2 linked regions of the Cricetulus griseus genome follow. The protein of the gene in region 2 interacts with the protein of the main gene of each other region in a biochemical or structural test. Links are inferred from orthologs where the notes say so. Each region holds a gene or a part of one and is shown on either strand. Other genes may lie near its edges.

Region 1 (4,481 bases), on a different chromosome or scaffold from region 2:
AGAATAGGAGTCAAGGTCAGAGGATAGCTTCCTCAGGATGTTACAGACCAGGTGTATATATGAAGTCTCTCCACCACCACCTGTCACAAAACCTGGGAAGCTTAGAAATAACCAGAAACATTGGCTCTCAGGTATGGTGGACATGTGGTCAGACCAACTAACACACAATCACAGTGACCCTTCACTGAAATTATCTCTGTAGTGTGACTGACTTCTACTCTTGGAAGCCATTCTTGGTTCTGCTTTGACCTTTGTGCTTTAAAGGCCACATTGCACCCTGATCACATCCTGATTCCAATGCTCTCTGGCCATGTGACCCTGTGTGGCTGCTACAGTCCCTTGAACTTTAGTTTGTTCCCCTAAAGAATGACTTTTCCAGGACTTTCTGTGACTCTAAAGAAGCCCACACTTACTCTGAGATGGCAAGAAAACAGGTAAGCAGCATCAGATGCTGATCCCTGTACCCATACCTATACAGAGTGGAGCTCTGTATAGTCTCCTTACGTCACAGCCCCTGGATCCCTGCATCCCTCTCTGCCTCCCTCCCTGGGAGGGACACTCAGTTTTCACCTAGGCAGTGCCATGTTTCTCTTTGGCCATGACTCCTAGCCCTCTATACGGTAAGTGCTCCCAGACATCTGGGCAGCATGCTGGTGCTTGGAAGGCAGCCTGCCTGGAGTTGTATTTCCTAGGCTATATCCTTCCTCTTAACAAACACGTCAATCACCTTTCTGCTTCTGGCTAGCTTGTTAGCCACACTGACTGCTGGACCTTTGTCATCATCTTGTACTTCACAGGACATCTTTCCTATCCCTGAGAAGGCCCTGAACCCTTTCTGAAAGGCTTCATTTATTCATGCAGTCCTGTTAAGTTTGTGAAGTACTTCCCTGTATCTTATTCAGTCCACACACATCCCCTAGAGCTAGGTGGTACCCTTGCATTTTACTCTTCCCAAAGTGAAGACTGGGAAGCTAAGGGATACTCTGAGCTATAATTTGAACCTTTGACTCTGTTTTCTTGGCTTTGCTTCTCATTGTTCCCTTGAGTTAAGGATTTGCATCTACCATGGTTCTGTCTCCACTTTCTGGGTGAGGCTCTTGTGGTTCGCCTGTTGGGTGTTCCTGCTTGCTCCTCTTACCCTGTCCCCATGCTGCCTCTCACCCCATCCAGCCTCTGTCTCATATGTTCTCTTGCCCCTCACAGATATTTTGTATGTCCAAGCTACAGAGCACCTGTCAGCCCAGCCTGGGAGCAGACACCAAGCCCTGGCTTAGCTACAGCTCCTCCTAACAGTGGCTATGCTGACACTGAGCACAAATGAGAGGGTTGTTCAGAAATGAACCAAAGCCAAATCAGGAAAATCTCCATGTGTTCTGGGACATAAAACAGCTCCATACACATTGCAATGAACTGGCTGAATGATGAAGCATGTTATAGTTGAGAGAGGTGAGGTAATTGCATACAGATGGCCATAGCATTGGTTCACATGAGATATCCCTGATCTTTCTTTTTAGAAAACAGCATAGCATGTTCATCTTATATCGTTTCCCTTGACACCCAGTCCCCAAAGTAAACTGAGAACACAGACTGCCCACATTCCCCTACCCTTTTTCGTGGCTTGTGCCTTCATCTGCCCCAATCTGAGACAGGAGACAGTTTACACAAACTATTAACTGACATCACACCACACTACAGTTAAACAAGCCCCTCCAATGGCCACCTAGCTCCTCTATGGAGGGTTCACCACCCAGACTAAAGACCGGAACAGAAATTAGAAGTAGCAGCTTTGATCTGCACAGCGTTTCCACCCAGGCCATTGCTTAAAGCCTCTTCTCATTCACTGGATATTAAAGAAAAATCCTTGACTGAAACCTGTGGGAAACACTAGGTATCACGTTGCCACTTAATCACCCATTAAGTAAGAGCTTTTATTGACTTTCAGCATCACAGTGTCTTTCTTTTTTTAAGACAAATTTTGATTCATTTTAAATGGCCAAAAGCATGCCTGTCACTGAACATCTTTGGTGTGTATCTATTTGAAAGCAAGAATCCTGGAATCTCATTCATCCACCCACACCTTGTGAGTAACAAAGCTTCATGATTTGAGCTGGGAAGGGCTCTCTTCTGTGCTATTGGATCTATGGTAGCTGCTTTGTAATTGTGTAGTTCTTTAGAGTTTAGAAACAAGTCACTATATTTGTATCAAACCCTTGGATGATAAGAGACCAAGACCCTAAGGGAGGGACTTCCTTAGAGCCACCCAGCTGCTTCTTAATGGCAGTTCAGAGGCTGCCATGTAGGTCTGTTGAACCCCCTTTTCCTCTGCTTTCCTGCCATCTGACCCAAAGGACTGGGACACCCCTCTATGACAGTGGCTTTAGACCCAGAGTAATTCCATGCCCGCTGCTCTGTTTGAGAGGTTCCCTTGAATTCTTAACTTTTTTTGTTTTTAGGATACCAGGAAATCAAACCCAGACTTTCATACACACTCCCTAAACCCTCCGATATTAGTTATGCTTTTAGGGAATTTGAAATAACTGCTATGTCTACAAGTGGATCAAGTATATGGACCCTCCTCATATGTAGTCAGAGTAGGTGCTGGGATTTGGTTGTAAAATATACCTCCACTCTGTAGAACTCTATATAGTCCCATCGGCCACCCAGTCAGTCAGTCATCCTGGCCCAAATGCCTGTTTAATCCACTTACCTGCCTGTGTGGTCTCTGTCGGCTCAACTGAGTAAGGGGACTCTTGTCCTCTTTAAATATATTGAGGCTGTCACCAGCCTTGGCTTGCTGAGGGAAGGGCAGAGGGGAGGCTGAGGGGAGGGGGTGAATAAGACATGAGTAACACAACTGCCAAAAATAGCCCATGACCAAAGCCCTTAGTTGTGTTCCCCAGCCCCCCCACCCCACGGCAGCCGGGAGCCTCCTGGAGAACAATATTAGTTGGGTTCTATTTTAATTGCCATTTGCCTAAGGCAGCAAGGGATGCATTTGTGAAGTGTACAGTTTCTGACCAAAGACTTGGAAGAAGAGTAAAGGGTTTTATGTTTAAAATCATTTCTGCAGCCCCTCCCCCACACCCTGCCTGTTCTGCAAATCAGTGCAGGGTACCTGCAAATGAATCATGAGCCAGGCCTGGGAGCCCTCTGGAATTCCAAGACCCAGGTCACCGTACTTGTGAGGAGAACTCAGAGCTAAAAATAAGAGTGATGGGGGTCTGGCACACTCTTAGCTAATCTCCTCCAGGAGGCTTGCAGGGGAGGTGGGGTTGAGATCAGCTAATCATCAGAGGCCTGTTTATCCAAGGAAGAAAAGTTTTCTCAGAAGTTTTGAGTCTCAAGTCTTGATTAGTAAACTATTTCATGGTTTAGAATAGGGCTTGTTGTAATTTCACAAGGATGGGCATAGCATGGCTTTAAGTGAAATATGCTTGATCCGTGTTATCATGGAAAACAGCACAGCTTGTTTATCTGAGAAATAAGACAATGATGACTGCCCTATAAAGCAAAGGATCTTAAGGATTCTGGTAGGATAGCAGCTTTTAAAGCTGTGTGTGCGTGCGTTCGTGTGTGCGTGCGTGCGTGCGTGCGTGCGTGCGTGCGTGCGTGTGTGTGTGTGTGTGTGTGTGTGTGTGTGTGTGTATGTTCAGTCTTCAACTAATATAAATCAGCAGTATTGATGCATTCCTGTAATTTCAGCATCTGGGAGGTAGAAGCTAGAGCATTAGAAGTGATCATTCTCAGCCACATAAGAAGTTCAAAGCAAGCATGGACTGCATGAGACTCTGTCTCAAAAAACAAACAAAACAAAAAACAAAACAAGTATACCAATTTTTTGTGTGCTTTGACACCAATATTTAATGTAGTTAATGTTAAATGGGACATCAACACATAAAGTCAATAAAACTGGAGCTCCACACTGCTTCTTGTGTACTTTCTAAAGTTTCACTTTAAAGTCAGGCATGAGAATATAGTCGTGAGAGAGAGTCTGCAATGACTTAACTAAATTCTTACATAACTGAAAGGGTCTAAGCTGTGACAAAGTGTTGCACGTGATGATTCCACAGGACTGGTTTCTCTGAAGCCACACTTGGTGGCATGTAAGTGAGTCTTGTTGTGTCTTCCTGGAATCTTCCTTTGGTGTATGTGTGATCCCGTATTTTCTTATAAGGATACCAGTTCTATTGTATTAGTTTCTTCTTTGAAATCCCTATCTCCAAATACAGTACCACACTCTGAGATTTTTGGGGCTAGTTAGGTTGTAAATGTGGATTTTAGAGGGATCCAATTCAATCTTCATTTTGCATTCCTCTTGGGTGATTCTCGTGCTTACATTGAGAATCTATATTCAAAATGAATATAGATTTATTTCTTTATTCTTTATTTAGATTACTATATTCTTTAGTCAGAATTTAGAGGGAACTGATATAATTGTCCAGTAATGTTGTAGTGGGTAATAGTACCAGTTTATTCTTATT
Region 2 (3,723 bases):
GCCTCCTTGCTACCCTTAAATTGCCTACAGGGGTCGCTGTGAGACAGGTTGCCCAGATTGTGGAGTGTTCTCCCCCCCCCCCATCTCCTTTGGTTTGCCTAGGAAAAGCCAGAGCCACTGATATATAAATTAGCTTCTTTATTTCCAACACCTGAGTGAGTGAGCCCCAAGGCTTGCCCACCAGAGGAATAAACAAAGTTCTTGTTTCACTACACAGCATGCCTCAGAGATAAATACAGCCCAGGGGGCTCTGGCTCTGGCCAAGCAACTCTTATTTACACGAATAGATTACAAAAAGTCTTATATAAAAAAAATAAGTGGTCCTGAACCGCGCTTGGGACAGGGGAAGGTGGGGTATGGTTACACCTGTTACACACGGGACTGGAGCGGCTTTCCCGCAGGCTGTGGGAAAGAGCATATATTAGGGGGCCTCCGGAAAATGGGGATCATGTCTCCACAAACAACAGGGACCTGGAGAGCAGGGCCTAGGTGTACCGGGCTCAGCCCTGCTCGAGGAGCTGCGAGAAAGGAAGAAACCCTGGCGGTTAGGGGCAGCAAGTGGCTGTCTTTTGTGAGTCACATGAAAAAAATAAAATAAAACAACGACAACAAATGGACTGCGTCCTTTCCTTGGGGACCGCTGTGGGGACAGATTTCTGCTCCCCCTTTTCCAGCCTCTGGATGTGTGGCTTTGAAAGGACAGTTGGGAGGAGTGTCATTTAAGCTTCATTTTTGGGGGTGTGAAGGACCTCCCACCCCCCACTCCCCCGAGGCGTGTAGGCGGTATGCCCTCTCCTACAGCAGCTGACCTCTCAAAGCATCTGATAGGTCGGATTGGCGTTCGCGACTACAGGGCACTGCAGGGAGGCATCAGGGGACGACGGGGTCTGGGCCCCCTGTTCTGTGTCGCTTGGGGATGCACCTTCTGGAGGACCTGGAGGAGATTCTGGAGATGCATCTGCCAGCAGCAGAGCAGGAGCAGCGGGGCTGTCCGTGGAGATGCGCTCCACGATGCTGGATAGGCAGTCGAGGCTCGACACGGCTGCACTCTTCCTTGGCCTGGACTCTATAGGGGGAGGGGAAGGTTAGTATTCCAAGCTTGAGTCTCTTCAAGTCTCTTACACTCTCTCCCCACTCCATCAGAACACAGAGCTTTGGAGCAGAAGAGAAACTGAGGACTTGCCAGACTGAACGGAGAAAGAAGAGGAAGGTGCACACTGTTTAACCCCTAACCAGCCCCCTTCGTAGTCCCAAGATACAAGTGTGTTTGTGATGGAGGCAGGGAGGGGGGTACTGAGCCTGGGGAGCAAGGACAGCTTCAAGGGGGACATGGAAGGCAATTCCCAGCTGCTAGCTGGGAACAGCTGAGAATACGCACCACCGCTGGAGGCCTCGCTGTAGTAGGTGGCGTCGTAGCCATTCTGCCCCCGGGGGCCTCTCGGGGGGCCAGTGTAATCCATCTGCGAATAGCAAGAATGATGGAGTCAGATCCTCGGGGCGTCTCAAGCACTGCTCCTTGTCACCGCCCCTCCCTCACTCCCCTAGTCTCAGCTGGGGGCGTTCCAGGACTGGGTCAGCCCTAGTTAGGAAGTAGGAGCCAGCAAACATTGAAATATATCGCATGCAGGGCCAAACTGAGACTGGATGGTGACCCAGGAACAACAACAACAAATCTACATTTGGGTGATACGGATTTGGGGAGAAAACGTATGTCCTGTGGTCTGCATAGCAGTATTTTGATGCCACCCCCACTAGGCAAATCACAGATGCCCAGGGTCTCCAGAGACCCCAGTCACATGCCAGGCACACCTGGGTCTAAAGAACTTCCCCAACCCTAACGGACTCAAAAGCATTCCAGATTCCCCAGGTGCCACCTGCACTTGGCCTTCTTCTGAGACCCGGCCTTACCATGCCATCTGAGCAGTTGGAGCGTGGGCTGGAAGCGTCTGAGTCGCCGCTGTAGTGCTCACTGCCTCGGCCTGGGGGCAGCGGGCCGGGCGAGTAGAAGGCAGCCGCGCCAGGGGGTGCTGCGTCCTGGTCGCGCAGCAGAGCCTGCAGGCCTTCAATGTAGCGGATGGCATTGCGCAGGATCTCCACCTTGGGCAGCCGTTGGTTCGGGTTGCTGGACGTGCAGCGTTTGAGCGTCTCGAAGGCCTCGTTCACTTTGCTCAGGCGGCGCCGCTCGCGCATGGTGGCGGCCTTGCGGCGATCAGCGTTGGTGGTCTTGCGCTTGCATGCTTTGCAGGCCCACAGCAAGCAGCGACCAGCCTGGTGGTGCCCACTGGGTGCGCGCACATGCTCATCCTCGCGAGCACCTGAGCCTGGGTGCACCGTGGTAGGGAAGTGTGTGTGCTCCTCCGGTTTCAGGAGGGTCCCCACGTGCACCAGGCGCGGGTCCAGGTCCTCGAAAAAGCGCAGGTCCGGTGAGTCGAAACACGGGTCATCATAGAAGTCGTCGGCTGTGGCAAAGGAGCAGAGAGAGCCGTCGGGGCCTGTCAAGTCTACGTCCCGGAGTGGCGGCGACAATAACTCCATATCCCAGCTCCTGGGCTTCTCGGTCCTGCCTCTAGCTCAACTCAAGTCTCAAGAGTCACTTTCTGCCACTCCTGAACTCCGACAGTACAATGACAAAGTGCTGAGGATTGGACTGCACACAGGCTGTCCTCTACCTCCCCTCCCTGGTCTGTCGGAGTTGTGGCGAAGAAAGCAATCGTCCTGGGACTTCCTCGCCCCAAGCTTCGCGCCAGGCGTCCAGGACTATTTATCCAGGGTAGCCTAAAAAGCCCGGGAGCTGGAAAGGGAGGCTGGGGGCGGGGGTGTCCTAAACCAATAGGAGTGCAGCAGGGCGGAGCGTGGGGTCCCCAGGGTAGCCACTGGGGCCAGGGAGTGCCCCCTCCCGCGGCTCTGCGGTGGGGCAGGGAGGAGGGCAGACACTGGCGGGCAAACACCCTCCGCCCTCCTTTGCACTTGGTTACCAGATGCAGCCTGCCCAAGCCTCTCCAGTGCGCCTCCGCGAAGCCACAGCGCTGACCTTGGACCTCACTGTCTCCTGATTTGTGGGGAAACCAGGCACAGAATAGGAATTAGAAATCAGATTGCGGGAGATTTGTAGAGAGTCACAAGGCAACAGGGCAAAGAACCTCCAGAGAAGAAGCCGCGAAATGGTGACACATCCTTAGAAGTTGAGCCGAAGACGACGTGAGCAAGAGACAGTGAGACTCCAAAGGTTTAAGTGGGCAAGCCTGAGACAAATGACTTGGTGGCAGTGATATTTGGCTGATTGCGGATCTGGACACCGCCCAGAGAGCGCCTGGTCTTGCCCATCTTCCTCAGGAAGCTTAGGAACCCGGTTCAGTCTCTGCGGTAGTTGGGAGATCAGCATTAAAACTTCAAGCCATTCTACTCAAAATCAGGGTGGACGGAGGGAGGAAACGAGCGAAGAAGGAAGGGAGAGAGGCTCCACTCAACTTAACCAGCTGGATTCCTTCTGTGGATATCTAGAGAGCCACAGGGGTCTGGGTTGATCTGTTTCTACAGCTAAGACGAAAGCCAGTTTGCTGCAATTTTGTGTCCTCTTGTTCTGAGTCGAGCCCCAGGAAGTGCCTTTCTTAAGTGTCATGATGGCCAGGACCTGGCCTGAGGACCTCACCAACAGTGCAGTTTGCATAACTTTGTGGAGGTGACCTCTTCCCAAGTCTGTTTCCACTTCATATCCAGGGATAA

Evidence for each region.
Region 1: the proteins of myoblast determination protein 1 (region 2) and Csrp3 form a complex in vitro, tested with the Homo sapiens proteins (2 studies listed by BioGRID and IntAct, with this or other methods). The link is inferred for Cricetulus griseus from reciprocal best matches to the Homo sapiens genes MYOD1 and CSRP3.

Annotation. Positions count from the first base shown.
Region 1 is NC_048596.1:145,855,857-145,860,337, forward strand, and holds the start of Csrp3 (cysteine and glycine-rich protein 3), read right to left. Parts: upstream 2,821-4,481; 5' UTR 2,708-2,820; intron 1-2,707. UniProt on the Homo sapiens protein: Positive regulator of myogenesis. Acts as a cofactor for myogenic bHLH transcription factors such as MYOD1, and probably MYOG and MYF6.
Region 2 is NC_048599.1:155,322,210-155,325,932, reverse strand, and holds myoblast determination protein 1, read right to left. Parts: upstream 2,536-3,723; coding exon 1,909-2,535; intron 1,461-1,908; coding exon 1,382-1,460; intron 1,067-1,381; coding exon 813-1,066; downstream 1-812. UniProt on the Homo sapiens protein: Acts as a transcriptional activator that promotes transcription of muscle-specific target genes and plays a role in muscle differentiation. Together with MYF5 and MYOG, co-occupies muscle-specific gene promoter core region during myogenesis.